2 linked regions of the Alligator mississippiensis genome follow. The protein of the gene in region 1 purifies or fractionates together with the protein of each later gene. This does not show direct contact. Links are inferred from orthologs where the notes say so. Each region holds a gene or a part of one and is shown on either strand. Other genes may lie near its edges.

Evidence for each region.
Region 2: the proteins of MYBBP1A (region 1) and LYAR purify together in Homo sapiens (affinity purification with mass spectrometry; 3 studies listed by BioGRID and IntAct, with this or other methods). This does not show direct contact. The link is inferred for Alligator mississippiensis from reciprocal best matches to the Homo sapiens genes MYBBP1A and LYAR.

The regions. Positions count from the first base shown.
Region 1 is NC_081837.1:13,864,758-13,880,587, reverse strand, and holds the start of MYBBP1A (myb-binding protein 1A), read right to left. Parts: upstream 8,034-15,830; 5' UTR 8,007-8,033; coding exon 7,857-8,006; intron 7,764-7,856; coding exon 7,668-7,763; intron 7,592-7,667; coding exon 7,508-7,591; intron 6,494-7,507; coding exon 6,419-6,493; intron 5,545-6,418; coding exon 5,437-5,544; intron 3,952-5,436; coding exon 3,761-3,951; intron 3,420-3,760; coding exon 3,252-3,419; intron 1-3,251. Other genes in the region: EIF4H (eukaryotic translation initiation factor 4H), read left to right, coding at 13,193-13,251. UniProt on the Homo sapiens protein: May activate or repress transcription via interactions with sequence specific DNA-binding proteins. Repression may be mediated at least in part by histone deacetylase activity (HDAC activity).
Region 2 is NC_081825.1:28,821,911-28,837,726, forward strand, and holds the start of LYAR (cell growth-regulating nucleolar protein), read left to right. Parts: upstream 1-7,471; 5' UTR 7,472-7,571; intron 7,572-9,562; 5' UTR 9,563-9,616; coding exon 9,617-9,738; intron 9,739-11,745; coding exon 11,746-11,860; intron 11,861-12,900; coding exon 12,901-13,008; intron 13,009-15,641; coding exon 15,642-15,725; intron 15,726-15,816. Other genes in the region: ZBTB49 (zinc finger and BTB domain-containing protein 49), read right to left, coding at 174-1,300, 5,967-6,139, 6,480-6,482. UniProt on the Homo sapiens protein: Plays a role in the maintenance of the appropriate processing of 47S/45S pre-rRNA to 32S/30S pre-rRNAs and their subsequent processing to produce 18S and 28S rRNAs. Also acts at the level of transcription regulation.

The sequences.
Region 1 (15,830 bases):
GGGTGTGGCAGAGCACCTTTGGGTGCCTGCCACTTTAAATGCAAGAGCAGCCAGCAGGGCAGGCGGCAGGTGCTGGCCAGCCTTGATGAGAAGGTCACATGGCCACAAGCTGGGCCATGTGATTGGAGGGGAGGGCTGAGCAACCTCTATTTTAGCTCAGGCCCAGAGGGCTAAGGGAGCAGTCTGCTGCTGGTAGCTGGAGCAACAACACCTGGCTGAGCTGCTGCCCCTGGAACATGATGGAGGTAAGGGAGGAGCTACGGGGAAGGCAGGACTTCCTACGGGCCTGGCAGGGTCCCGAGCCCCAGGAAGGAGGCTATGACCTAGGAAGAACAAGGCCCAGCCTAGGCATGGGGCTACAGCTTGTAGGTCTACAATGGGGCCAGGCAAACCACCAAGTGGATCAGGCAGGGGTGAAGCCAGGGGCTCAGTTGAGCTAAGCCTCAGGCAGCATTGTGGGGGCATTAGACCAACTCGAATTAGGGTGAGGGCTCTATGGTGGGGCCCTCGGGAGTACAGGGGTCAGCAGCTGCCAGGCTGACTTGCTGATCCCTCACGCTGGTCAAGGCAAGAGGGCCAGGACCTGAAGGGCAATTAAGCCCAATGCGGGGGGCGGGCCAGGGCCTCGGTGAGCTATCTGGCACACCAATTGGCCAGAGGGTGGGGCCACAGCCTATAAGGGCTGAAGGCCCCTTTGATGGAGGGGGGACGTCACAGCCAAAGAGGGTAGGGGTCAGCCAGTATGCAGGCTGTTATGAAGGAGGCTGCAATACGGTCTCTGGATGGGAGGTATCTGAATGGCAGTCAGAGTGAGAGCCAGGCCCAGGGAGAGACAGAGAGAGAGACCCTAAATATATCACCCAGGAGCCCTAGAAGGGGAACTAGGCCAGGGCAGGTAGGTGTTGGTCCTAGGCATGACCAGAAACTGCACCCTGCCAGGGAAGGGTGGTCTGGTGGGGCTGTCTGTGGCGGGACAATCCCCCAGAAATGCCAGGCCAGCTACCTCCCCAGTGAAAGGTGGGTAGGGGCACCTGACAGCCCCAGCCCCCGCCACCTGGTGAGTTGTTAAGACTAGAGGGTAGTGGGGCCAGGTACGCCTAAGGGGAAGCACCTGAGCCCAGTGCGAGTAGTGGGAGACGGGTATGCTTGGCAAGGAACACCCAAGCCCCATGTGGGGGTGTAAGGCCCCAGTGGCCCTAGTTGGAAGGGGCTGTAGTAGTGGGGCCCCAGAGGAGGGGTGGTGAGTGGCAGGCCCTACAGTGAGGGCACACGTGGAAGCCCCAGGAGGGGGCAGCGAGGCCAAGATGGATCTTCGGATGCCTGCCGCTATAGCCGGGCCCAAGGCTGACTGATGTGGCTCAGTGGGAGTTATGGGTGTAAAGGGCAAGTAGCTGGCCCCAATGAGTGGGCAAGAGTGACAAGGTACCCAGAGAGGTGCCTGGGGCAGAGCTCTCCCCAGGACAAAGTGAATTGGCTGGTCACCATTCAGATGAGGGTCACAAGAGGCTGCATGCCAGCCCGCCAAGGAGTGTGAGTGGCCTACGTGGTCGCTCAACGGAGCAGGGCAGTTTGGGTATGTCTCAGTTAGGGGCAGCATGCAAAAGGCCCAGCGAGAGAGGGTGAAGTCCGAGAGGCCCCAGTGAGAGGGGGGAGGTATGAATGAGGCCCGATGAGATGGAGTGAAAGGATGAATGCACGAGGCCTAGCAAGGGGCTGAGTTTGGCCCGGCCAGGAGCCAGAGCAAAGAGCAACTCGAGGATGCCATCCATGAGGCATGGGACACTAAGGGGAGGCTGGAGGCATGTGTACACCCCTAGGCATCGGAGATGTAAATAGGCAACCTCCCGCATTTTTACAACCAGTATCTTAACAACAAGGTGGGGCAGGAGAGACCAGGCAGACTGCCCTAGACAGGTAGGTAGGTAGGTAGGTCTCCCAGGGCCGGTATGGTGACCAGGCCCTGGGAGATGCCCTTTATTGCAGACACTCTCAGGCCACGTGCTAAAGTGAGATGCATATACACCACAAGATTTGGACAGCTCCTGTTTAGAAACCGGTTTCCTTGACCCTCTGTAACTTTGACATGGTAAACAAACCAAAATCCCTTAGAGACAGGTCAGAGAGGTTCATCTCTGGATCTGGGCTTCTGGTCACAAGTTTGTGACAAAAATCACGATTTAGATTGAAGAGCAAAATAGCAGTTTTGATAGACAGTTCACATATCTGTTCTTGCAAATTTTCTGGTCTTTAATCATAAAAAAAAAAAAAAAAAAAAAAAAAAAAAGACCTTAACATATTCTGGTGACCTCAACCACACTATAATTAGAAACCAACAGATGTTTGACTCTGATTACACCCAAAACCAGAGGTGTAATCAAACCCCTAAACCTAATTCAAATCCCTCCCCCTGCCATCATGAAAGGACAAATTCAAAAAGGCACTGGACACAATTTCCTGATCCTGTGCCATCTTCGACAACATTATCAACATGATTTTTTGGTTAAACTTAGAGTTGCAAGTTGTTTTATGCTGTATTCCTATCCTCGAGCCCCTCTCCCAGAGCCCACAAGACCTTCTCATGTTCTTTATGGCCTCAGAAATTTAAAAATGTAAAAGTGAAATTGTCAAGAAAAGGAGAATATAAGGAGCCTACATCACACTACTGCTCAGTATTGTTACCTGGGGGCCAAGGTTGGGGACCATTGCTTTGAGACGTTGTCTACACCCAAGACTTGCATCATTTAAATTATGTTGGTTTGATGTGAAACCACCAGTTCCTTCTTACTGCAAATACCTTTATGGCAGCACAGTTAATTTGTTTCCCCAAACAGAAATAGCTTTTAGCTTTAAGGCACCTTGACACATGTACAACTGCACCCCTAGTTATTCCTTTGGTTAAAAAGAAGCATAAAAACGATCTCTCTAGCTGGAATCCTACTAGTATAAAGAACTGTGTTCGTACCAGGTATAAGAATTATGAACATGCAAGTAGCCAACATTATTCCCCATCATAAGCTATTTTGTCCCAGCTGAACAGAAAGCCATACAGTGCTCAAGTGTTATTTCTTAGGTTGTGGCAGAGTTGCCTCTTCAATTTGGAACAATTAAATTTGGTAAAAAGAAGAGGGAGGCAATTCTTCATGAGAGTCTGGGGTTTTATGTCCAGCTTTGGTCCCAGAGAGCAACAAAGCATGCCTAGGGTGGGGAGCAGAAAAAAAGAAAAAAAGTGACTGGAGCATTCAAGAACAAACCTGTTTGGTCCCAATTTTTCCTTAAGCAACCCATTCTCCACAGCTTCTTTCCAGAACAGGTCAAAGGCACCTTCCTTCAGAGAAACACGCAGCAGATCCAGCCCCACGCTTGGCAGATTCTTGTCCTTCTTCTCAGATCTGGCAGCAGTCCTCAGAACTGCTACAAGCCTAGAGGGGAAAAAAAGGAAAATTGCAAGAGGACAGAAAATCAGAGTTGTTAATCCCAGAAGGAGATTGCTGAAGATCCATTCCACCCATGAAACTGCTTTCTGGAGCAGACCAGGACCTGCACTGAACCCGGACAAATTGTATGTGGCGAGTGCCTCCCAAGATGATCGGCACCCCCAGCCACACTGGAGATGGACTAACTCCAAACACCCTTGTCTCCCACTAGATTCAACAGAAAACACAGGTGCCCTGCACCCCTTCATGTCAACACCTGAACGTTTCCCACTTGAAGTGGAAAGGATGGGGACATGGCATCTTTGCGCCCTTCTATAACAACTCACTTGGGAATGTTTTCCGGGGTTACGAGGGTGGATGAGCCCAGCAGTTTCTTCAGTTTCTTGGGCTGAAGAACCTCAGGGAACTTCTGTATGGCCACAAGCAAGAGGTGCAGCTGCTCCGGGGAACTGAAGGCTGAAGTGAGGTCAGCCTGTAAAGTGCTGAACAGGACCTCCTCAAACACAGCCTGAGGGGTCTGAACAGCAATGCAGGTGAGACAGCAACACAGCAAGTGAGGCCTGGTTTGTACGTAGCTACAGAATGGTACAACTATTTACACCAGTGGTTCCCAGCCTTCCCCCACGACCCGCTACTGGGAGCAGAGTGCGGCGGCAGCCCGGGGAGCTCCCAGCATGCGGCGCGACTTGTCCTTTGTGAGCAGCACTGCCCCAGCAACCCTCATCTGGGTTGCAACCTGAGGTTGGGAACTGCTGATCTACGCGTAACAATAGATTTTACCAAATCAATTATAGCAGGATGATTATCTTAAAAACAGGTACAGTTCTATTGGTACCAGCTTATTCTTCTCCCCCTGGAACGACATACCTAGATAATGTAATTATCTGACTATAAAAACTCCTTAACAGTTGAGGAAAGGCAGGCAGTTACCCCAGTCTAAACTACGCTGGCAGAGTTAAAGGAATATAAATGCTGCAAGCTGAGAAGACATCGAGGATATGCAACACTAGCAGAGGATCCAATGGGAAAAGGAATACCCATCCTTTTTTTGCTTTTTAGGAGAAAAAGATTCTGTATGGACAATACCATAAAAATATTTTATCAGCATACTGATGGCCAGGGATCTGGGCTTTCTGTTCACCATGGGAAAATGCAGTACAACCCCCATCTTCTCATTTTAAGGAGAAAAATGCAGGAAACAGTAGGTTTCCCCTCCCAGAGTTTCAGCCTGCCAGGAGCTGGGGATGCCCTGTGCACGAACACATGCACATGGCTGCCAGGCAGCCGGGAGAGCAGGTCCCTGCAGAAATGCATGGCTGCAGGGCCTGGGTGGGGAGCGGGACAGAGCCACAGGCAGCTTGTCCTGGCGGTGGTGGGGGAGCTGGATCCCTGCCACTGTGTGCACTCATGGCAGGGGCATGGGGGCACGTCTGTAAATTCACTCTCAGAATCTATACAGAGCAAGGACAAGAGCACACAAGTCACGCGGTGCTCCTTATGCTATACCCACTTCTCCACTCAGCTCCACTTCTCAGCCTTGCTTGCCTCCACCCTACCCCCACCAGCTCAGATACACTGACCCTCTACTCTGACGATCAAAATTCAATATTGAGCACGCGCAACACACTGAATGCTTGTACGGGCATTGTCTGTGCACCTATATTACAGATAAACAACCTGCATCACCACGCACAGTTGCCAATGTTATTTTCTGTAAGCACAGAGCGCATCGGGACACTGGACAGAAACGTTCCTATCAACTACAGTGAAGCTGGATCAGTCCCAAAAGAAAAGGCTCGCACACTCTGAAAGTCAGCTAAGCTGAACAGAACAAGACACACTTCTTCCAGAATAAGTGCCCAAGCATGTAGCTATTCAGAATAGCTACCACACTTTAAATTCCCACTCTAACAATCTAAATTAAATATAGATACATTAAGGTGCAGGGGAGGTAATGCCACAAACAAAAAACTCCCAAACTGATGCGCCACGTCTCCATTACCTCCGAGAGGATGTCAACAAGAGCTTTCCTAGGCAGAGTTCGGAGGAACTCCGGGCGCTGTGACAGGCTCTGCAGAAGCTGGACACAATGCAGGAGGGTCTCCTGGTCCTAGAAGTTAACAAATAAAAAGACAGAGAAACACAGATAAAAAGCTATATAGTGAGGCTACAGCTGAGCCCAGGTATCTGCTCTGAGTGTGCTAGTTTTAATAATAATAAAACTTCTCAGTTGCTCCCCAACGTACACATCCATTCTTTCTGAAGCAGCATTTCCCATCTGTGACTGACAAGGTATTCCCATGCCACCAGAAAGGAACATGTTTCAGGTTCTCGGTCCTGTCTGTGACAGTTCTTTTATTTCCGTCAGAGAACTTGAATGCATCTTTGGTAGCAAACATGGGTGAATGGGGATGGAAGAGTAAAGGAAGATTGGATTGGATTCCTTCCCTCTAAAAGGGCCATTCCCAACAGCTTCTCCTGAATACATGGCCGCTTCTGATTTCCAGATAAGAGAAACGCAAAATAATGTGGAGTCACAAAACCTGTGATTTCAGCTCTCTGTACCCACTATCTGTTTTAGGTGATCCCAATTTCCAAAGCATCAAACTTCTCGGCTGCCTTTCAGGCATTATTAATCCTCCTTAAAACCCCTGTGAGAGAGAAATATTTATTATCTCCTTCTTCAGATTTGGAATAGACACACCAAGAATAAAGCTGAGATTCCTAAAAGTGGTTTGCCCCCCCTAATTCCCATTGAAATAAATAGAAATTGGGCATCTAAACACTTCCAAAAAATCTTGCCCTAAGCTACCTGTTTCAGGTTACCTAAGAGGCCTACGGTTAAACAATGAAAGGAACTAAACCCCGAGCTCTCATATCCCAGACCGCTGGCTTGACTAAAGCACAGGCTGTCCGTCCACTTCTGGTTTTCTTTTGCACTTTGCACAGCATCAGCTCCTCTGTCGACATGACAGTAACGTTACCTTTACGAGACGGCCTGACTGGAACAGGGCCAGAACCCCAAAAAAGTTTCCGAAGGCAGCATTTCTCAAGAGTTTCTGAAAAGAAGACAACAAGCCTGACAATTACATATGCAAAAAACATGACATTTCACACTCAAATTGGAGGAACTCCAAGTGCAGCAGCAAATTGCTTAGGACCTGGTCTTGAATATCTTTCCAGATGAAGGGAATATACTTTCCTGCAAGCCACACACACACACAAGCCTCCTGGGTGGGAATTGTCCTTGCAAGTCGGGGTCTGATGCCACGATCGCTCCCGATCCCAACAGGCATCGGTGGCAACGTGCAGGTGCATGTGCACCCCGCGAGTGTGTCTGCGGGCAGTCTGCAAGTGCGCGGGTCACCGCCAACGCTGCCGGTAGCGTCCGTGGGCGGTCCGCGATTGCCGCGGGTCACCGCCAACGCTGCCGGTAGCGTCCGTGGGCGGTCCGCGATTGCCGCGGGTCACCGCCAACGCTGCCGGTAGCGTCCGTGGGCGGTCCGCGATTGCCGCGGGTCACCGCCAACGCTGCCGGTAGCGTCCGTGGGCGGTCCGCGATTGCCACGGGTCACCGCCAACGCTGCCGGTAGCGTCCGTGGGCGGTCCGCGATTGCCGCGGGTCACCGCCAACGCTGCCGGTAGTGTCCGTGGGCGGTCCGCGATTGCCGCGGGTCACCGCCAACCCTGCCGGTAGCGTCCGTGGGCGGTCCGCGATTGCCACGGGTCACCGCCAACGCTGCCGGTAGTGTCCGTGGACAGTCCGCGATTGCCGCGGGTCACCGCCAACGCTGCCGGTAGCGTCTGTGGGCGGTCCGCGATTGCCGCGGGTCACCGCCAACCCTGCCAGCGGTGTCTGCAGGCGATTGCTGACCACTGGTCAGCGCTCGCTTGCCACCCCCCCAATCCCAACAGCGCCGCGGCAGCTCCCCACTTGCATCCGCCACTCTGGGGAGCATGCGGCGTTCGCGCCGACAGGTTCAAAACCATTCAAAACACCCTGTCGTCATTTATCTTCGAGGAAGCCTCCCCGAGGACAACGGATGCTGGCAGGAAAACAGCGGGGGACTCACCTTTTTGACCCTGTCGAGGCTGTGTTTTTCTCGGATCAGCTCCAGCACGGAGCCCAGGGAGATTTCCTCCATCGCCTGCAAGACCTAGGAGGGAGGCAGGCAGCGAGTCAGCCTCCTAGAGACCCCGCTGCCCGCCCGCCCGCCCCGGCTCCGGACCCACCTGCGCCAGGGCCAGGCTGAAGCCGGGCCGCGCCGCCTCCCGCGTGGCCGCCAGCCCGTCCACCAGGCGCCGCAGGGCGTAGCGCAGCTCCTCGTCCTGCCGAGCAAGCCAAGGGCGCCGCGTTACACGGAGGGAGGGAGAGAAGGAGGGGGCACCCCCGGGACACCCCCGCCCCGCACCGCACCGCACCGTGCCGCCGGCCCGCAGGTAGCGCAGCAGCCCCTCGGTGCCCGCCAGCCGCGCCGCCTGCTCCGGCCGCGCGATGTCCCAGAAGAAGTCCAGGAACTGCCGGCTCTGCTGCAGCTGCGGCCCCGGCCCCGAGCCGCCCTGCCCCGCCATGCCGCCGCCGCCGCCGCACGTGGCCCCGCCGCGGCCGCCCCTTCCGCCCGCGCCGGCCTGCCCCGAGCCTTCCGGCAGCGCCAGCGCCGCGCTCCCTTGCACGGCCCGGCCCGGCCCGGCCCGGCCCGGCCGCGGGGATTATTATGATCGTGATGACCATCGGGATCTCTGGCGATGCTAAAAGTTTGCTCCCTTGCGGGTGTCCCCTCCTCCCCTGCAGCTGCAAAACTGACGCGGGCACGAGGGGGTGGGTGAGCTGCAGGTCCAGGGGCAAGCAAGACCGGGGAAAACAATTATTAAGCAAGCTTTCGGGTTCAAAAAGGCTTCATCAGGCTAAGGAAGTTTCGGCAGGCGGTGTGCTCTATACGACTATCATTGATCGAGTACAACATTCTGGGTTATTTTTGGTGAAAATAAGGTATCGGGCTTAGGTTCAGGAGCAAATCCCCCATTTACGATATTGTTTCCTATGGGAAAATCGGTTCCGAGTTACGTTTCGATTTAAGACACGGTTTTCAGGAACCAATTGCGTCGTAAGTCTGAGGACTGCCTGTAGTTTGAGAAGGGTCACCAAAATGATTTACAGCGGGATAACTTAAAAATGGGTGCAGCGGTATTGGTACCAGTTTATTCTCCACCTAGAACAGTGACCCACCAAGATAAGGTGCCTTTAAAGTCAATTAATTACATCTGCCCTTGAGGGAAGGCAGCCCAGTCTGCCATAAAGCAATGACATGAACGACGCGTGCCCCCGGAGGCTGGGGGGCACAGGGACCGCCTGCAGGCGGTGTTGGCAGCCGGGCAGGCCGAGTGGGGAGCTCCCAGAGGTGGCCACGGCGGTGTCGGGGGCTAGGCAAGCGCTGGCTGGCAGTCGGCAACCATCTGCAGACACTGCTGGTGGTGTTGGCAGCAAGGGGGGCCGTGGCAAGGAGCGAGTGGCAGTGCTTTTCATAGGGAGTGCACCGCCGATCTGAGGAGGTACACGTGCACCCGCGTGCACCCCCTACATGTCGCCAATAAGCAATGATGTGGGGTAGACTCTTTAGAAAAAAAAAATTATTTATGGGTGCGCCAATAGAGATTTGGGGGGCCAATACCGATAGCCAATTTTTAAGGAGGCTTATCAGCAGATACCAATCCAATTTCCGATACAGCTGCATGCAGCTGGTAAATCTGTTGTGGTGGATGGGGAGGGGCGGGGGGCAGATCAAGGTCCCCCATGGTGAGGGAGGGAGTGGGGCTGGGGCAGGTGCTGCCCAGCTAGGGTAGGGCAGGTGTGGGATGGGGGGCATGGGGGCTCCCGTTGTTGTGTGCACCCTGGGAGGGCATGGGGTGTGCGTGTGCCCCACAGATCTGCATGGGGCAGGGCAGGCTGCAGCTGTGGGCTGGGGCTGCACCAGGCTCTTCCCAGTGGGGGCTGCAGTAGGTGGCTGCCACGGTGCTGGGAGGGGCTATGGTGAAATTTGGGGTGGCTGCAGCCCCCCCACGTAAGCCCCCTCCCAGTGCTGTCACCCCCACCTCCCCAAGCACAGCCTGGCCCAGCCCCAGGGGGAAGAGCCCAGCACAGAGCCAGTCCACAGCTGCAGCCCTCCCTGCCTGCACCCTGCACAGACTTGATGGCACACCACCCGTGCCCTTCTGGGCACACGCCCCCCCCCATTGGTGGGGCACAGCAGTGGGAGCTGCCCCCCCTCTGTCCTGCACCCCACCCTGCCCCGGCTGGGCAATGTGTGCCCCAGCCCCACTCCCTCCCTCGTTGTGGGCCCCCCAGCCCCTTCCCTCCCCTCTCCCCTTCCACCACAACAGAATTACCAGCTGCACACAGCTCTCCATGTTGCTGGGCTGTGCTCCTCGCTGCCTGCATCTGTGCGCATGCACAGGCATTTATCTGCCCAATTATCAGAGACATCAGGCTGATTCCCGATACAGTTCATTTTCTTTTTATTGGTGCCGATCCAATATTTATCGGTGCACCTCTAATATTTAATTTTTCTGGAGTTGTTTTGTCTTATTTTCCCAAAAACTGGGGAGTGACCAAGATTTTGAAGACTGAAAGTGCGTAACCTGGACTCTCAAATGGCAGCTGGATATAGATGCTCATAGATTCAGAAATTGTAAGGGGCCAGAAGGGACCTTGGAAGATCATCAGGTCCAGTCCCCTGCACCAGAAAGGAAAGACAACTGGGGTCTGGTGACTGGGGTCAGTCTCCTCTTGAAGATCTCCAGAGTAGGTGATTGCACTACCTGTGGAGGGAGCTTATTCCAGTCTGCACATCCTGACTGTGAAGACGTTTTCCCCTAATGTTGAGTCTGAAATGGTCTTCCAGGAGTTTGTGGCCATTACTCCTGGTTTACCCCAAGGGTGCCCTGGTGAACAGTTGTTCACGGAGCCTTTGATGTACTCCCCTAATGTAGTGTGGTAAGCTACCAGGTCCCCTCTGAGCCTTCTCTTTTTCAGGCTTGAGTCCCAGGTCCCTCAGCCTTTCCTCATATGTCTTGCCTTGAAAGTCTCTGATCATATGGATGGCCCTTCTCTGGACTCTCTCAAGCTTTTCCATATCCTTGTTCAAGTGCACTGCCCAGTACTGGACGCAGTACTCCAGCTGCGGTCTCACCAATGCCAAGCAGAGTGATAGAATCACCTCCTTGACTTGGTTTCATCTATGAACTTGGACCCACATCCAAATCATTGATGAAGATGTTGAAAAGCACTGGACCAAGCATGGACCCCTGAAGAATGTCGCTGACCACTTCTTGCCAGGACAACTCAGGACAGTTCATTAGGACTCTTTGAGGCTTACCCCGCAGCCAATTTCCTACCCACCTGACCATCTTGGAGTTAAGCCCACAATCCTCCCATTTTCTCATGAAGACATCATGGGATACCAGACCAAAGGCTTTTTGGAAGTCAAGGTATACAATGTCATATGGAAAAGCTTCCCTCAAAAAACAAAATCTTTTGCATTGTGACAGCTTAGTATTGTCTGGGATGGGACACTAGGCCTATTGACACAGTCAGATGGGGGAAAATCAATAAGTTGTAGTTCTCTATAATAAAACCCTAAACCACGGTCCAGTAGAAAAAACAAATCAATAATGCAAATGACACACTTTGGAATATATTAGGAAACCCTTACTACAGTCAGTCCATTATCTTCCTGCCCACAGCACCATTAAAAAGAAAAAAAAAGTGATCTTTATTAACGACAGAGGAAGCTCATAGAGTAAGAAGAACCACCAATAAATGTGTGGCATTGGTTGCTTTTCCTTTTAAAATATCACTTTATCTCAGGTCAGTTGCAGTTATCTAAAGAAGAGAGAGCAGCAATGGGGTCTGCTGTATGAAAGAACCACTTTTGATCACCTTACTAATAATTGCTAGGCTATCTGTGATGAACTTAAAAGAGATGCTGACAGAATGCAAATAATATTTTAAGACCAGCTAGCTAAAAGTACATTATTTTTAAACGAAATATCCTGATTGTGCATTGCTTCTGATTTTGCAAGTATCCTGATCTACCTCTGACAGATTATTAAAACTGAAATCACACGCAGCACTTAGGGCTTAGCTTTTACCATTTAAGCCCTGGCATTGTTTTCAGCATTTCGCTGAGTTTCAATTGCGCATTTTTTCAAATCGTTTTCCCGTTCCCACATACAGGGCACAGCACTGCCATGCTTTTCTTGCAGACAGCGCAGGAGCTTGTTTGCATCCAGTACTTTCACTGACATCTTTTGTTAAAAGAGACTAAACCACATTAATCTGAAATCAAGAAGGCAGAGTTGATTTGCACTTTGTAGGCTAACCAGATATATATCTAACCAGATACAGACTAAGGAAAAGCTTGGGCTAGATAGCTGGGTACACACACACCTATGAATTGAGCTTCGGCTCTGGAAATTTGTGCTAAACACATACGCTGTCATTTGATTAATATATGTATATGTATGCATACACATGTACGTGTGTTTTTATGCATCTCTCTCTCTTTGGCCAGTCTGTAAGGTACAAATGCCTTCGACATTTTTTAAGAAGAGCCAAAGACAGTGCTGCGAACACACAGGCTGTAAAACTGGGTTTTATTCCCCTTGGAAACCCCTAATCACCCTGAGCCTGGTCTAGCTAGACCAGTCCTTTAGCACAGCGGGTCTCAACCTTGTTTGTACCAGGACCCACCATGGAAACATCCACGGCCAGTCCAGACCCAGTGAATAATTTAGGTAGAAAACACATGGGGCATGGGGGTGTGTTTGGGGCACAAAGGTGTGGGGGGGGCACAGGGAGGGGCAAGGGTGTGCGTGGGGGGGTATTAGGGAGTGTGGGAAATGGGGGGTATGTGTGGGGCACAGAGTGGGAGGGTGTGCGGGGCATGGGGGGGGTGCGCAGTGCATGGGGGGCCATGGGGGTGTATGTGAAGGTCATGGGGGGCTATATGGGGGAGGGCCAAGGGGTGGGGGGAAGGGGGACACACAGGGGTGTACATGTGGGGCACATGGGGCGTGGGGGACATGGGGGTGTGCAAGGCATGGGGGCACCAGGGAGTGTGGGGGGATGTGCAGGGCATGGGGTGGTGTGGGGGGCATGGGGGACACAGGGTGTGTGGAGGCATAGGGGTGTCAGGGGGACATGGGGATATATGTGTGGGACACAGGGGTGTGTGGGGGGGACTTAGGGACCGTATGGGGGCCACTAGGGTGTAGGGGGGACGGGGAGAGGGGGTGCAGGACACGGGTGTGACACACGGAGGGGGAGACCCGCCAGGCCGCAAGGTAAGAGCCGCTTCCCCCCTTTTTCCTCCTTGAGAGGAGAGCCCGCTCTCCCCTGCCTCTCGTCCCTTCGCCGCACTGCCGGGCCCGAGCCGCGGTGCTGTGGCGGGGCCCGGGGCCCCCGCGCTGGGCTGGGCTGGGCTGATCCGTGGGGCCCGGCGGCGGGCGGCCCGGACCCTTGTGACGCGCGGAGGCCCCGCGCCGCGCTGTGACGCTCCATGGCGCCGCCGGGCCCGACCCACGTGGTGGTGGGGGCGGCGCGCCGGCTCAGGCATCGCGCGGGGCAGCCCCGGGAGGCGGGCGGCGACGGCGCAGGCAGTGCGGCGGGCAGCCCCGCGCTGGCCCCCTATATAAGCGGCGCGGGGGCCTGCGGGCGCGGCCCTGTCACGCTCGCGCGGGAGGCGGCGGCTGAGGTGGCGATGGCGGACTTCGATGCCTACGACGATCGGGCCTACAGCAGCTTCGGCGGCGGCCGCGGGTGAGCGCGGGCCGGGCTGGGGTCGGGGGCCGCGCGCGGCGGTTCCTGCCGGTCCCCGGGGAGCCCGGGCCTAGCGCCGGGCGGGGCGGGCAGAAAGGCGGGTTGGAGCCGGGCCGCAGCGCAGGGGGAGCCGGCCCCTCCGCGCCGTCGGGTGGCGGGAGCGCCTGGGCGGTGGAAGCAGCCTTTGGTCTGAGCGGGGCCCCGGCGGAGAAGAGCATTGTGTGGCCGTGCCCACCGGGGCGGTGGGGCTGCAGGTCTGGTCGCCCCTGCCCCGAGGCAGCATCCTCCCTAACCAAACCCGCCCGCACAAGTCCTTGCTCAAGCACCCGGATCCAAACCGGCTGCGGATGGAAGACTCCCCCGTTAATTAAATGCTCTGCGTGGGACGCCTGCTACGTTTGCTCTCACTTTTCACGTATAGGATCTAATTCTTGCTGGGACGAGGTTATTCTTTCCCCATGTTGAATGGGGGACGGATGGACACGGACCTTCATCTTGGCTTCGGGTTAATGTGGTGTTACTAAAACCAGAAATTCGAGTAACGGTGGTGTTACTACTGCCCTCGCCTTGGATTCGAGTAACACCCTCATCTTAGACTCAAGTAAAGGTGGTGTTACTAAAACCCTTCTCTTGGACTTGAGTAAAGGTGATGTTACTAAAACCCTCCTTGGATTTGAGTAAATGCCAGGTTATTAAAACTATACCGTTGAACCTGTCTCTCAGCTGCAAGGCACAGTTAAAACACCACAGGTTCAAGCAGGGTGACAAGGGCAGTTGGTGTCCTGCTGCTGCAACAATTGTTAAAATAGGCTGTGTTTTAAAATAGGAACAAATTTGAAAATAGCTTGAAAGAATAGAATTTTTAAAATTAATTCCAGCAACTCTGGATGTTGTAGAGCAGCGGCGAAGGCGCTTGGTGAACAAAAATTTCTGTGAAAAGCTCAAGACATAACAATTTAAGTTAACCTAGCGTTAATGTGTTTTTTTCCCCTCAAATATTCCCAACAGCTGCCGTGTTCCCAACGCTTTGGCCCTTGACTCATTAGGTACTGAGTGTAAGTTGCATTGAAGGAGCTGTACTTTGCACGTCTGTAGAGCGTGTGGCTTGTACAGTACAGAGCCATGTTCGTGTGGGTCTGTGCAGACAAGCCAGGGGTCTGTCCTGAGGTAGTATTAAAATACAGGTCAGCTTTAATAAACTAAGGGCTGCAGTGGAGGCAGTGTATCTTTCAAGCAAAGGGCAGATTTTACTTTTTGTTTTGGTCATTATTAAAGTAGAAAATAATCAGGGAGATTCAGTAAGTATCTAGTAGGCAACCATCAATACTCTGGGTCACGGTGAGTGTGTAAAAGGTCTAGTCGGGTGCCTGATGAGTCTGCTTGTATGGAGTCCTGTGACCATCACACCAAGGTCATGGATGCTTGTGCCTAGGCAAGAGCGCAGAGGAGGGGAGGCTGCCGAAGACCTGTGTGGCCCCCCCCCCCCCCCCCCCCCCCCCCCCCCCCCCGTTCAAAAGCCAGAGCGAGTCCAGACGTTCAGCGCCTCAATGGTTGTAGTTCAGGGCTGGGCAATTATTTTGGGTGGAGGGCTGCTTACTGAGCTTTAGCAAGCCATCGAGGACCGCATGACAGGCAGCCAGGGGCAGATTAATATTCCCTAAATTTTTTAGGGGGCCCACGGGCCAGATAGAATGTCCTGGCAGGCTGCATCTGGCCCACGGGCTGCATTTTACTGTTGTAGCTTGTTGCAGAGAACAGCAGGTAAGAACTGCTGCTGACTGCCAAATGCCTCAGCAAGGGTGCGTTTCTGTCAGGGTGATGTCCCTTAGCCTTTCTCCAACCAAGGAGTTACCCACAAGGCGATGGGGGCTAGGGTTTTGAGGTGCCCTATGCTCGCCTTACTCTGGAGGTTGCAACACTGTGGTTTTTTTAATAGGAGCTGCCCTGCCGTGCATTGCCCTGTCACGTTTTCCCCCAGCCCTCCAGTTAGATGGGACTTACAGTCCTACCCAGGACCGTAGTATCTAGGACACCAACTAATATCTATAGGTGAAGGAATATGTTCCCTTTGATTTTATTTTTCTTTTTCATAGAAACAAATACTTAATTGGAATGTAGTTAAACCTTATGCTTGACGCTTCTGAATTAATGCCATTTTCTTAAATTCTAAAGTTATTTCTTCCTTTACCGTGTCCATTTCAGGAATTAGCTCTGATTGGAGGATGAATGTAGCATGATCCATTGAGACTTTACCAAAACAGAAGCTATTATGTTAATTTAAGTCATAACACTTTGACCAATGGAAACTGTTTGCACTGTGTCAAATAGAAATACGTATGGAAACTGGTTTGATTTTCAAGCACAGATTAAAATGTAACATTGTTTACCATCTCAGATATTTGCCTTTCACTTCCACTTATCATTGTCTGTTGTGCTGATTAGTATCGTTTCACTGTTTGCTTATTCTTCCAAATGCTTATGACAGACAGGCATTGTCATTTATCTAAAATATCTGGGGCAGCACCCAACTGTACAGTACCTAGCTAGACTCTGGCTTGTAACTGGGAGTCCCGGTGCTG
Region 2 (15,816 bases), on another chromosome or scaffold:
ATATTCTTACTGCTGCCCTTGTCCTTCCATGGCTAGGCATAGAAAAATATATTTTTTAAGTGGATTCCTATGAAACAAGAATCTTTCAAACTAAGAGGTAGCCTGGATGTCACTTTCCTTTTTTCTTTAATCTATAATTCAATATTTGGTTTACAGACATTAAACAACTGTACCTGTATGAGACCTCTTATGGAGCTCCAAATTGCTTGGATGTTTGAAAGCCTTTCCACATAATTCACAAGAATACTGCCTTTGCGACTGAAGAATCTGTGACTGTTCTTGTTCTTGTTCCGAAGGACCCTGAGCTCTTTCCATTTCAACAGGTTGTTCAAAACTCTCTGAATTAACTAGATCTTCAGTTTCTTTTTCTGCCACAGCACTGATATTTGCCATCCCCATGGCATTTTCATTTTCAGATTCAATTGCCTTTGGTTTACCAGTTTCATCACTTTTAGGCTCAGATGACTGCTCTGCAGACTTTTGTGATCTTAAGAAGTTTAGTTTTTTAAGATGAATTGCCTTCTTCAGACGCATCTGTTTAGTAGGCTGTAAGGATGTGCTTTCTGAACCCGGATCTGGAACAGATTCATTCAAGGACTGGACCAGAAAGTTTGACGGTAAGTGATCAGAAGACTCCAGAATACATTCAGAGTGACTGACAGTACAAGAATTGCTCTCCACTGCATTTATTTCTGTAGATGCATTAATTTCTGTAGACGCATTGAACGCAAAAGATGATTCCGTTATCCTCTCATGGTTAGAGCAAGCATTCTGTTTGTAGAACTGTTTGCTATAAAAGTTCCGCAGTTTATAGTAGTAATTTGGCTGTTTAAACGGAAGCTCTGTGCAATTACCATCTAATGAGTCCTGCGGCTGTTTTTGTACATCACCTGAGGGTGTATGAAGATTAAGAGATTGTGATCCATGGGAAGGATGGTCATCCAAGACTTTGCTAGTCTGTGCATCCGAGGAGCATTCATGCAATAAGGTAGCTCCGTAAGTATCATTCACACAGTTAGTATCTGTAGCCAAAGTACTTTGCAAAGCAAATACATTATTACAAGGCATGTTGGCTTGCTGTTCTACAGCTGTTGAGGATTTTAAAAAAGTGTGGCAAATGTTCAGCACATTTTGTACCTGAAGACATTGTGCAATATCCAGCATAGCTTGTACATTGTCCTGGCTAAGATCAAGGTGAGAAGTGTACATGAAGTCCAAAATCTGGCCTATGCCACCTACATTTTTAATATCCAAGTGAAAGACATCATTCTTCTGGCCTGAAGAATTCTGAAAAAGGGTCCTAACAAAGCAATGCATAATTCTTTATAATGTACAGACACACAAACTGCTAGATTACAAAAGCTTTTATTTAAAAAAATTGAACACGCCGGCTAATATCCCAAACTGATATGAATCAATAATATAACATGCAGCATGGGACTAAATCACCAGCACTATAGTACTATAAGAAGGATTAAGCAGATGTTGAGTAGTTTTCAGAACTCTACCCTCTTTAAAGTAAATGGAAGTTTTAACACAACTACTGTGGAAGACGTTAACGTGTTACTTCTGAATATCCCACCCAGCCTTATAATTACCCCTCTCTCATGCTTAGAACATTGGCCTGATTATTGTATTAATGGGTTATGCATAGTGCTGGGTAGACTCTAGGGCTGTGCGAAGCTTCGGTCCCCAATTCAAATTTGGCTGAGATTCGACCCAATTCAGCGGCCGAATCTCCAAAACCGAATCAAATCAGGAGACCCTTTAATCTCTTTGAATCGAATCGGAACCTTTTGAATCGATTTGGAGAGATTCAGAAATATTCGGAAATTCAGACATAGACACAGCTTTAAATGTTCTGTCTACGTACCTTGAAGTACCAGGCGGCTTGTGAATGCTGCAATACTGGGGCAGATGGAGTGCAAGAGGCTCCCCAGCGCGCTCAGCAGCAGACCCAGAAGTGGACCAGAAGCACTTCTGGTCCACTTCCAGGTCCACCAGGGAGCGCACAGGGGGTCCCCGTCCAGTCCCCCTCCAGCTTGGCAACTGGTGCTCCCTGGGTCTGGGGGGATACCTGGGGTCCCCCCGTGGCCAATCGCCAAGCTAGGGGGCACATGGGGGCCCCCTGCAGACCCAGAAGTGGACCAAAAATACTTCCGGTCCACTCCTGGGTTTGCCACCAAGCACGCAGGGGGTCCCCCTGCACTCCTGTGGGATGCTCCATCTGCCCCACCACTGCAGCATTCACAAGCCGTGCCTGGTACCTCGAGGTATGTAGAAAAACATTTAAAGCTGTGTCTATGGCCGAATCTTCAGATTCAGCCAAATCGAATCAGGGAGAGTGAGCAAAGTAGGTTACAGATCTATAACACTATTACAAAACAAAGTGACAAACAGAGCCTACTTTGTTAAGAATGCTAGCATGTTACCCTTTAAAGGAACTGACTGAGCTTCTCCATCACACACTCCCAATGAACCTTACTGAAACTTACCCTGCTTAGGTCATTCCCTTGTCTACCTGACAATTTTTTTTCAAGTTCTGGCCACATCTATAGGCTGTGCATCATTTCATTGCATAAGACTAGATCCCATAAAGAATTTAGGAGCCTCAGTTCTGCTTAAATCAAGCACTATGATTCAAAAATCCCCACTTATCTGCTCCTAATCTCACTGGACACCTCTCCAGTGACAATAAACATTCTGCTTCTGTGGCTGTACAAAATAGCCCCAGCCTGAGCAGCCTCCCATCTAAACTCTATGGGGATTCAGGAACTAGGCTTCCCTCTGTTTGAATCCAGTTTAGTTTGGCATGCTTCAAGAAAACCTACCAGCAGAATATGGTCCCTTATCAAATGCAGTTGTAACCACTTTCTTATAAAACACAGCCAAAGGAGAAATAAAAGTTGATACTGCCTGTTCTGTGAAGTAGCCTAGTACAGAGGTGTCAAAGATACAGCCCACTGGCTGGATCCAGCGCACAGAAACCTGTCGTTTGGCCCACAGTGTTGCCTATGGGTCTTAAACTGGACTTCTACGCCACACATGGCACATGTCAGACCAGTCCTGTGTGCCAACAGGGCCTCATGAATTTGACATCCCTGGCCTAGTAGTTATAATACTCACACAGGAAGCAGAGAACAGGCTTCAGCGCCTTCAGTCGTGAGGTAGTTTAAACCTATGCCTCCTCTCTCCAGTACCCTGCTGGTTAGGACACTGTCATAGGAGGTAGGAGTACTGGATTTAAAGCATGGGTTAGGCCAGTCTCCTGGAGATGGGAAATGTGGGTTGGAGCCCTCTTAAGTTAAAGAAGGTATTGAACCTAAGTTTTCCACTTTCTTGGAAAGAGTTTGAATCATTAAGTGATACCATTGTAAGGTTTCAATACAATCACCATTTTCTTCTCTAGCAACTGCATTTTAAAAACAAAACAGTAAATATTTTTCAGTTCCTTGAAAAAACATTTGTGTTTACCCTCAGAAGAGTGTCCTGGACTCTGAATTACAAACAGATGGAGGCACCTACCTGGAGCGCTTAACAAGTGCTTAAGCTCTGGAGAGGCTTCATAATGCGCCCATTCAAAACGTCTTCTATTTGCTAGCTCTGGCTAACTCCCAGATACTGCAGGGTTTCTTTGGATGACTGCAAAGGCATTAACTCTCCTTGTGCACTGTATAGAAACCAAGCACCTAACTAAGGGTTCTAGGATAGTCTGGGGGCCAGGCAGCCATAAAGTTAGGTACCATGGTGCCTAAATCCTGTTCGGTCTAATCCACACTGCCTAACTAATCCACACTGCCTAAGTTTATTGCAAATATTTTTCATTTATTTGGGCTAGTCTTTTGAAAACCCGCTAAAGGAATCAGATATCTAAGTCCCATTGCATTTCAAAATGGGATGGATGCCTAACTCCTTTCAACTACTTTGAAAATCTCAGAGCTTATAACAGCATTTCTCTAACAACAGAAAATATTTGGATCTCAGCTTTCCTTTCCCTTATTTACTTATTAAATCTATCTTCTCCCAGTTATTATTTTATGTAAATTTGTCATATTCATTTTGAAGATGATGCAAGAAGAGAAGAAGAGCAAACACAGAGCCCAATCATTATGGCAGGTAAAGAAACTTTCAGCAGTACACCAATAAGAGATTTTTAGGGCCGATACCAACAGCCGATTTTTAAGGAGGCACATCAGCAGATACTGATCTGATTTTCAATATCAGCCCAGCAGCTTGGAGAACTGCGTGCAGCTGGTAATTCTGGTGTGGTGGAAAGGGAGAGGAAAGGGTTGTGGGGGGGCAAATCAAGGCCCCTGCAGCGAAGAAGGAGTGGGGCTGGAGCTGGGACAAGCACTGCCCAGCTGGGGTGAAACAGGTGTGGGATGGAGCCGCAGCTTGTCCTGGGGCCACAATGGGGGGAGGCCTCCCACCGCTGTATGCTGTTGGTTCGGGAGCCACTGGTCTGGCACTTACCCGCTCGTCCAGCAGTTCCCACCACTCGTCCGAGAAGGCATGGGGGGCTGGGGTCGTGCCCTCGCATTTGCACGGGACAGGCCAGGAATAGCCCCATGCAACCCCAGCCCCAGCCTACTCCATCCTGCCCCATGCAGATCTGGGGGCACATGTGTGTCGTCCCCCCACCCCCGACAAGTGGTGGGAAATGCCCGACTAGCACTGGACTGGCAGCTCCCAGATGAGCGGTGCGCAGCAGCAGGAGCCGCATCCCCTCCCCCCTGGGACAAGCCGTGGCTCCATCTTGCACCCACCCTGGCTGGGCAGCAGTTGCTCCACCCCACTGCTCCCTCACCACGGGGACCTTGATCTGCCCCCACCCCTTTCCCTCCCTCATCCCCTTCTACCACACCAAATTTACCAGCTGCATGCAGCTCTCCAAGCTGCTGGGCTGTGCTCCTTGCTGCCTACATGCTGTGTTACAGCTGCACACACACACAAGCATTTATCACCCAAATTATTAGCCACATCAGACCAATTTCCGATACGATAAATTTTCTTTATATCGGTGCCAATCCCCTATTGGATTGATGCATCAGTGCACCTCTAGAAACTTATCTTGAAATGTAGTTACTGCTCACTGCACATTCTAATTTCACTTAAAAGTTCTGGAAGCATCAACTGACCTGCAGATTAAGAAATTTCAGTGTATAAATCTAGGCTATAAATTCTGAAAAACTTAAAAGTGGCTTCCAGATCAATTTTCTTTCTAACACTAACAAACAGCAAAAGTGGATAATCTTACGAGGCCTCAGCCACTAAATCCCATATCTGGCCTGGTCACCCTTACTGTGTCCCACACAGAACTTTAAAAAGAAGTCTCATCATTATCATTATCTTGCAGTACAGTACTGGCAGCAGACCAAAGCCAGAGACTCAAGCCTCATTATGCTAATCACTGTAAGCACCAAAATCATGATTGCAACTCAAAGACTTTACCATCATTTCCTGCACACAGAATGCACTTTCCCCCAAAAAAATGCTTGCTAGAAACCAGAGTGTGCCCTAGACAAAGGAACTATAGTAAGAGCAGTTTTTGCCCCTTACCAAGTGAAACAAAGTAAAATTTGTAATGCACAGGGAGCAGAACAATGAACAAGCTCAGCTCCCTAACTACTGCTATTCAGTTACCTACTATAAGGAAAGATCTCTCTCTCTTCATTCTACCTGTCAAAAACAAGGTTTGTATTATATGCCAGGATGCACTGGACATGAAAAAACATGGTAACACCTAATTATGATCAGCTACAAAATAAATTGGAATGATGCACATTTTAATTAAAGCAAATACAAAATGCAGATTAGGTGCAAGCAAGCAATCTAAGACCCCCTAGTTTTTCCCTTAAAACTGTGATAAGGTATCAACATTACTATTTAGTAGCCAGCAGAAAAATTCTTTCCTCAAACATCAACTTATGGTACCCTGTTTATTGCTTCAGTAAAGGTTGGAGTACCTGAAATACTGACTGAAAGCAGCTAATACGTTTTTATGTGCTTTGAAGCAGACTCCTTTTACCACCAACATGCAGTCACACAGAAGCCCTTGAATACGCTGTTCATGTAGCTGCTGGAGAAGATGACAACTATGGCTAGCAACAGCATCCATGCTAGAGCACCATTTAATTACCTACAACAAAACAAGACAAAAAATACTTAAGAGAAATGCAGCTTACATCTTCCTGCAGACCAAGTTTAAAAATAGGTTAAAAGGTATAATGCAATGCAATGCAATGATTAGTTTCTCTCTCCCCAGTGCAACAGAGCTCCTCATAATTTAGCATGACATGTAGGCAACTTAAGGAGAATTTTTAGTCACTAAGAGCGTACTACAGACATCAACATGTTTATTAAAAATCAGTATTTCCTAACAGTGAGCATCTGCCCAAGGTATACTACAAAGTAGATGGGATTGTAACCACGCATGATTTGAACAGGCATACAAATTAGATTTTATCAGAAAGACATACCATGAATCTTAGTGAGGCACGTTTTGAAAAAGGTCTTGATGCCTTAACTTAACACAAGAAGAGCTTCTCTTTCTTTTTTTAGAAAAAGTTTTCATATCCCAAGCCAAATCAACCAAATCAATTCCAAATTCATGAGGCGGTCAAGAACCATATGTGGCCCTACTGCTGGCAAAAAACATCCTCCATCCCCACCTGGGAATTCAGGTGTTTCCTAAAGATTTGGTGGACATCCTACGTACAAGCCCAAGCCCAGAGACTTGGGGTTCGGATGCCCCCGAATTTCATCACATGGCCACAGGAGCAAGCTAGGAAGGAGTCTCCTGTTTCCATAAAGCGGGGGGTAAAGCCAAGATCTTCCCACTGGGAAAGAAACTGCGAAGTTTACACATAACCAATGTGCCAGCAAAGCGGTTTTCCCCAACCACTAGAAATTGTTCCCAGGTCTACCCTGTATTAACCAAACTCAGGTGACTCCTAAGGACATCTGTCCGCATCGCACAGCGCTGCCATTTCCCGGGGAGACAGGTCCCTTATGTGCCACGTGTCGGAGGCCCGACGCTGTGACACGAGCTCTCCCGGCCCTGCCCCTCTCGCCCTAGGGGAACAAGACACCCCGTTTCCACCGGATTTGTCCCAAGCCATCAGCCGTTGCGCTCTCACGGCGGTTACAGCCAGGGCGGGGCAGGCCCGCCTTCGCCCAACGCTACTAAGCCTGTTTCCAGCTCCTTAGGGAAGCGTGGGAGACGGCGCCGCGGGGCGGAGGCAGCCAGCGCAGGCCGAGGGGCACGAGCGGCCAGGCCCAGGGCTGCGGCAGTCCCAGCCCCGGGTATTGGAATCCGAGGCCCCGGGAGCTCCCCCCCACGCAACACCTCCCGCCTCACCGGCTCCAACCGCCGCTCTACCCCATCCCCGCCTCGGGCTCGGCCCCGGCCCCTCCGCGCACTTCCGGCCCCGGCGCTTCCACTTCCGCTTCCGCCCGGCGGGGAGTCGTTGGCGCGCGCCGGGAGTTGAGAGCGGCCGTCGGAGCTTCGCACGTGTGTCGGCGCCGCTGAGTGCGCGATTGGCCGCTCGCGCCGCAGGACCCGGGAGCAGGTACGCTGAGAGCCGCGGGCCCAGCCTCTCTCTTGCCCGGCTTTCGCCCTGCCCGCCCGGCCGCTCCTGGCATGGGCCCGCGCGGGAGGTGGTCCATGGCCCATCCCAGCACGTGGGAATGAAGGGCAGGGTTTTGAGGCGGATCGGACTCGTGCCTTGGAGGGAAGCAGTAGAGACAGGCCCGTGCTGGGTTGTTCCAGCTGCCGACCAGGTCTGAGCTCAGTCGTTTTTGTAGGTGCGGACAGACGTGCAGCTCCCAGCTGTAGCTCAGAAGGATTTCTGCAAAACTTCCTGAGCTACAGCGTTACACTGGACCAAACACAAGTTTGCTGTTGGTTTCAGGAGGAAGGAGCGTCCTGCTGGGGGCTGGGAGCCTGCAGCTGGGTTCCCATTGCAATGACCCTGCTCCATGTTTTCAGACCGGGAGGGGGAAAAGCAGAGGAGTGAGCTCCCCCAGCTGGTGCTGAAAGGTGGGGTGAGTAAATTGCGGCCCCCTCCACTTCAGGGGGGCTGCAATACACCTCACCCAGCCTCCAGAGGAGGGTTAAAACCCCCCAGGACCAAACTCTCTGCTTCCTTTCCCATTCTGAAAACGGATATGCTGGGAGCTGTGCAGAGGCAAGTTACAAAAGTCACTACATTTTGCAATATCTTTACTTGATACCTCGTGCAATGAGGGGTCAGATTTTCACACAGTCTTGCAGCCGTGCACCTGTGTTTGGTCACAACTACGAACTGCTTTTTGTGGCCAGATCAGGTGAAAATTGTCACTTCTGTCTGCACCTCTAATTGTGACTTGATGCGCATTTGTGTAGCAGACACACACTTTCCACAGACCTGGGTATCTCGTTAAAAGACGCAGCTCTTTACCCCCAAAACCATTCTGGGTCGAAACCACAGAAACGTTAAACCACCAGTATAGGCAAGGAAAGCAGGATGGGAGCAAGTCGCAGATAAGTAATGCATCGTGCAAGTCTGGTTGCTGTCAGGAGGGACTAGTTCAGCAGCAGGCAGAGCTAACAGTAATTTCAGGGAACACGTGGAAGAAAGGGGTCCTGGAGGAGGGAGCTGAATTGGACTGAGGATGTAGGACCTTTGGGAAGACTGATGTGCTAGCTATTGGGAGCATGGGGAAAAAGGCATGGGGGCAAGAGTGAGGGGGAAGAAAACATTAAAATGAGAAGGTGAAGAACAGTGCATGAACAAGCGAGCAGAGAACAGAGCCTTAAATTTGAATAAAAAGAGTTTGATTTTCATGCAGAAAAGTGATCTAGTGATATGTGTTCAGAAAGAGATAATACTGGCAGAAAAGGAAGACTGGAGAGGGAGAGTTGGGGATACCAGTGTGTAGATAGTGAGCTAACCTAGGTAACTCCTCTAGATTACAGGCAGACTCAGCCTTGGAGAGGAAAGACGTATTTGAGAAACGTTATAAAGGGAGACTATACAGATATAGGCACCTTGATGCATAGAGAGAAGCAAAAACTGAATCATTGGTAACTTCAAGGTTATACGCTTGTTGCAGTTTTCTATTTGAAACTACGTCTTTAGAGTTAGTTCACATCACATCACTGGAACATGTCTACATGTTCGTTAATATGCCGTTGCTACAGCGCGTTAAGTTTAATACCTCTGATATGAGGTACTAGATAAAGGCATAGTAGCTGCACTAATGTGCAGTAGCAAAGACGAATGTTTTTTTATGATGCTTAATGCGCAGTAGATGAGTTCTGCGCATTAGCATGGTTTTTGCCATGAGGTACTAATGCACAGTAGACCGGTCCACTGTACATTAAGGTGTCTTGTACCCACTTAGAAATAAACTAGAAATAAAAATGAGAATTATGTAGAGCAGCAAATAACTGGCAATGCTTGCTCATAATAAATGTTTCATAGGTTTGAAAATGATAGGTTAATCAATATACAATACATTTGTGTGGGTTTTTAAAATATTTTTCCTAAATAATTCAGATGATACATTTTTTCTCTAGCGTTTTGAAGATTTTACTGTAACTGCCTTTGAGAAGAAGCTATTTGGATCCAAAATGGTAGTCTTCACATGCAATGCATGTGGAGAATCTGTGAAGAAAGGACAAGTTGAAAAACATGTAAATATTTGCAGAAGGTGTCAGTGCCTTTCTTGTATGGATTGTGGCAAAGATTTCTGGTAGGTAAATGAAGTATTTGTTTGACAATACCTGCTTGGTAGCAGCAGCAGGAGATGCTTTAGGTAGCTTTACTCTTTACTCTTCTACTTTAGCATCCTGAGTGCAAATATAGCATTAATTGCATGCTGTACTTTGGGCAGGGTAAGAGTTACAGCACAAGCAATCATTGATACCAATTTGTGGGCAAGAGGATCCAAAGCTGGGAACTTGAAAGAGACAATAGCACCTTCCCCTTTTACAGGCTGGAGTGGATTAGTGACAGTGGGCACATTTACGCTAACTCCTGAGTAAAGCATCACAGTCTACACGTGTGCCTATATTAGGGTACAGAAAACTAATTAATTCTGTGATAGGCTAGTACTGCTCAACAGAAGTACAGCAACTGCCGGAAATTTCCATTTTTTTGAAGCCAGAGCAGCAACCGCCACTCCAGTTTCAAAAAAATGGAATTTTCAAATTTCTGGCAGGTGCTCAGTCCTGAGTATGCCAGATTTATGAGGTTATGCCAGGGGCGGGCAATTATTTTGGACAGAGGGCCGCTTACTGAGTTTTGGCAAACCACCAAGGGCTGCATGATAGGCAGCCAGGAGCAGATAAATATTAATTTTCTAAATTTTTTTAGGGGCCCCACAGGCCGGATAAAATGGCCTGGTGGGCCACATCCAGCCCCCGGGCCACATTTTGCCCACCTCTGGGTTCCACTGTACTATGGCAGAGTACTTGCGTGCACTCAAACGTGTAGACTGTGACCAGGGCTGGCTGGGGCATGCAGGTGCTACAGTGTCCAGCCCCTCCAGAGCCTGGGGCTGACCCCCAGACCTCCTGCTCCAGGTCAGCTGTCCCCGGGCTCAGAATCTTCACATATGTCTGAGACTGCCCTGGCTCTAATTGCTGCAGTGCACATGAAGACTTTGTGCCTGGGAGCAGCTGACTCCAGTGCAAACTGCGCCAGAGTTTATTCAGGCACATTAATATCATGTATCTACACATTCTAGTCATTCCTTCTGGGCAAGGGAACCCTCTCTTCACTTTGTTACTGTCTTTTTCTTTTGTTTACCCTAGTGATGGCAAAAACTTTTATCTCTGTATGGTGAGAAACAGTTGTAATTTTTAGATTTTCCTTTTCCTTTATTAGTTTTAGTATTTATATCTTTTTATTGGGGCAAACTGTTGGATGCTGTGGTTACTGGAGAATTGCTATGAAATCCTGTAATTCCAAAGTTACAGCTCTTCTTGTAAATATCCAGATCTCTGAAAAAAATGCCATTGCAGTCTGCTTTCCAGTTTTAAAAGTAAAAATTAGATAAAAGTAACAACGGGACTAAGGAAGTGGAATAATGGTAGGTCCATATCAGTAAGTTCACCACTCCAATGGTTTACATTTTCAAGCCCCCTTTTAAGTATTTTAACTTGATCAGGAGACTACCTAGACCAAACCTTGTTTAAAAAAATCTAATTTAGAATTTTTTTATATGTAATTATTCTTAAGCTATTATTCTAACTTGAGAACATATCTTTATTGTGAATGCTACTCTATAAATATTTAGAATTTTTAAATGTGCAGAAGAATAAAAAATGCAAACACTTTTCTAGCAGGCTTTATTGAGAATAAATATGCATACCACATATACTGTATACAACATATAATTATGAATGGTATAGAAAGCTTTGTTTATATTGTTTAGAGACTCTGTATTCTCTTCAGATAACTTCGCTAGAAGCTAAGAAAGTGCTTTGAATGGTGAAAATAGGCATGTATTTAAGCATGTAGAACCATACTTATGTGAGTAGTTCCATTGGCATTAGTGGGACCATTTACATACTGAGTTACACATGCTTGTGTTAATGGTATTTGGGTTTTAATTTTTTACTGTAGTGTTTGGCTTTCCATGGCTTCTATTTCTCTGTTTTTGTAAATACTGTTGAGTTTGAAAAGCTGGATTCATTGACAGAATATTATATACAGGTTTTATGTTAAAAGGTTGTTTTTTTTTTAAATATCAAAGGGGTGACGATTATAAGAACCACGTGAAGTGCATAAGTGAAGATCAGAAATATGGTGGCAAAGGTTATGACGCAAAAACTAACAAAGGCGATGTAAAACAGCAGGAGTGGATTCAAGTAAGACTTGTTTTTCATATATATATATATATATATATATATATATATATATTCAGTATATCCTGCTAGGTATAAATGCAAACAAGACACAAATTTAGTATACAAAGCAGCTCGTATTTGAAAAATGTAAATACTGGTTCATATGAGGGAGTTAATATACAGATGTTTCACTTTAAATTTGTGTCCTGAAAAAATGATCTGTTATGAAGAGGAGACAAACCAAATATTTTTGTAAAAATGTGCCTCACCAGTTCTCTGTTGCAGTTACTGTGCTGACAGTAACATTGTGAATATTGCAAATGTGGTATACTCTGTGCTTGAAGGGAATACATTAATCTCTTACTCAAGATGCTTCTTGTTTCTTAGGAAATTGAACTTAATTCCTTCTGTGAAGGAAAAAAATTACAACCTAAACTATTAAGAAAAGATTCTTGAAACTCTTCAGAGGATTTTAGAGGCACTTCTATTTCAGCCCTGAAAATAAACATATGAAGCTGAAAAATAGGGTTATTTGTAGTATACCTCCTCCTCTTAGTTTAACAAAATTTTCCTTTCTGATGTCATTTGTTTTTCTTTTAAATATTTGAAAATTATGTTAAATCATAGTTGGTCAATTTTTTTTTCTCTAACTAATGCATTATCTGAAAGTTTAGACAAGTTATACAAATTGCATGCATTTAATATATAGTTATATCTACATACTAGCTTAACTTTACCTGGGTCATGCTATTTCTGAACTTCATCTATCAAGCTAGTTCACCAGCAGTGTTACAGTTGACTTGTAACTGGTGTAGATGATTCATTAAAATCACTTTGGGTTCTTCATAATTTTTAGATCAAAACCAACAAATTGATGTTTCTTGTCCACCTTTTACATATGGAAGTTTCTAAGTATAATCTGTGATTCAAGAGATAACAAATACTAGAGTGTATGCTAGGTGATTTCTGTTACTTAGAAGTACTGTGGATTTTTTTTATAGGAATTTTCTAATCAACTCAACTACTCATCTGACTTAGTAATTTTGGTTTTCTTTTTGTAGAAGATTCAAGAAGTAATGAAGAAGCCAAACATTAACCCCAAAGTACGAAATATTTTAGAGCAAATACGTGCCTATGACAATATTCCAAGAAAAAAGGTCAAATTTCAGGTATGTTTTTAACGAGATTAGCAGTGGTTCAAGCGCTTTTCACTAATCAAAGACATTAGAATTTTTTTCAGCTTTGGAGTCATGAGAGTGTAACAAGCCTCTGTAGACCTTTTCTTGTTTCAGTACTCTGCACTTCTAATTTTTTTTTTGATTGCTATGTCTGCTGTTTCTGTAAACACCTATTCGAGACCTGTACTGCAGTGATTTCTTTTCTGTCCTAATAGGCCATGTCCAGATGAGTGTGGCTGTGCAGTATGTGGTACCGCAGAAACATCTGTGGTGCCACATACCGCACATTCAGTTGTTCTCTGTGCTGCAGGAAAACAGTGCAGAGGGGTTTTTTGACCCCTGGATATCCAGGGGTCAAAAAAAACTATGGCAGGAAAAAAAAGTGGAGCAGTGCATGCAGAGGCAGTGCACACCGCTCAAAAGTGGAACCATGCTGCCCGGAGCTATGCTTTGGAAGCTGTTCGGGCTCCACACAGCAGAATTGCTGCTGCTGCAGGCCCAGGAAGCCCCCAGGTAAGGCTGTTGGCGCCAGCCTGGTGCTGGCCTCAGGCTCCCCTACCCCACCTGGGGTAACTTGCCACACATCAGAGCGTGTATGGCGCAGGCATTCCCCATTTACGACTGGTGGTGGTGCAAGGTGTGTTGCCGCTAGTCGTTCCTAGGGAACCAAACATCTACATCACCTGTGGACATACCCATTGAGGTTAGATTTTGCTCCTTCTAGATCTTCATTGCTTCTTATGACTCTAATACATACTTCCAAATGTGGTCCTTTATTAAGCTGCTGCTATACTGTTTTGCCAGTTTCCAAGTATTTTGGAGCGTACATAAAGAAATACTGATGGGACTAGGAAGGCTGAGCCCTCTGTTTTTTCTCCTCCACAGCTCAGTGTATGATGCTGACAATAGGCAAGGTTTATGTTTCTGATGTGTAGTTTAGGAGATAGTTGGAACTGTGGTAAAACTGCATTTTGGGTTATCACAGTGGAAACAAATATTTGAACATGTTATTATTTGTTTCATTTATATGCTGCCCTTCCCAACATAGGTTCAGGGTGGCTTACGGTAGGACAGAATAACTTATAAAACAAGAACGTGACAGGGTGGAGCCTGGAGGGTCTCCCTAGATAAAGTCAAAAGGGGGTGATAAGTACTCATCCATCACCACCCTTTGAAACCTCTGCTAGAAAAGAGTGGAACCAATTTAAAGCTGTCCCATGAATGTCCACCAGGTCATGTAAATGCTTTGTCAGCCCCTCATGGTCAAGTGTATCAAAGGGTCTTTGTGAAGCTGGAGGTAACTATGCCTTTTCTCTGGATATTTCTCATGCTTCCAGGCTTTGCTGGCTGTTGCATGGGGCCAGGATGGAATTTTTTCCTCCCTCTTACTGCTATGGGTCAGGGTTGGGGAGAGATTTCTTGTTTTTTCTTTTCTTTTTTTCCCCACCTTTCCCAGAAGTATTAGGTGTTGGCTGCAGCCAAGGCTAGGGATTTTGACTGGGGTGCGCTAGTGCTCATTCTGGGACTTAAACCTGGAAGTTCCTGGCTAGAGGGTCGTGGTCTTTTTCTCAGGGTCAGATAGCTGGCAGTATTTGGAGTCAAAGAAATGTTATTCCATTGTCAGATTGGTACATGCTGTGTGGGGGTTTCTGCCTTCCTCTGTAGTAGGAGGCATGGCCTGCTTCCTTGGATTTTAACAAGCCTCACAGCAACAGGACATTGTCCGTTGTTGTTCTCCTGCTTTACCTGTGGCAGGTTAGGGTGTTTTATGTCTTGTGGTTGTGCCAGTATTGACTATACAGTTTTGCTAATAGGCTAGACAATGGATTTGTATAGAATGGTTTGGCTAGGGATGATCCTACCACGGGTGGGGGGTTGGACTAGCTGACCTCTGTAGGTCCAATCCAGTCCTACTTTTTTTTTGTTTGGTAAGTTGCACTGTAATAGGGGATCAAAAGTTTCTACAGCTCCAGTCCCATTACAGTACAGCTTTCCTCACGTGATTGCAGAAATGTTTATAACAAATCTAACTACACTTACAACATTGAGTGAGTAGTTACAACTCCTCCCTACCTTTAAAGCCATCACCATTTTTCATTTCCTTTGATTCTTAAGAATATCAACAGAAATTTGCTGCTGCATTTTTCTGTGTGACAACTCCAATAATTTTTCTGAATAGGTACATATGAGATATTTACATTTCATTTTTCTGTAACAAATTGGGGTGATGACTTTGGGGAATGGGTTTGCTGATTCCATATTAAAAATGGTTTCATCACGTCTTTTATACTTAAAAGCTATCACAGGATTTAGTATCATGTCAGTACAATGCAGTCCTTACTCAGAATAGATCTAGGACTAATATGTGACATTAGCAGGAGTTTTGGATAGCTATTGTGACAGTCTGTGATGCGTACTTTACAAAATACTATAATAGACCTGCATAACTTGCAAAACAAATAGAAGCAAAGACTCTCCAGGAGGCAATGGAGAGTGAACCCTTAACTATATGTTCATTTTATAAGTTGGCTGCTTCTTGATTTTCACCAGTAAGAGGTCACGTGACCTTAAAAATAAAATAGAATGTCTGCTGTGTTTCTTATTTCTGCTCTTATCTTGTACAGAACTGGATAAAAAACAGTTTGAAAATTGAAAACAGTGCTCTGCAGGACCAAGTTTGGGATATTTTTTCTGAAGCAACTGGGAATGTAAGTCAAATCAAAACTACAAAATTTTTCCTGCAATAAACATGGAGTCAGTAAGGTGCTAGGTGGAGAACCCTCGTGATTCTTATTGGAG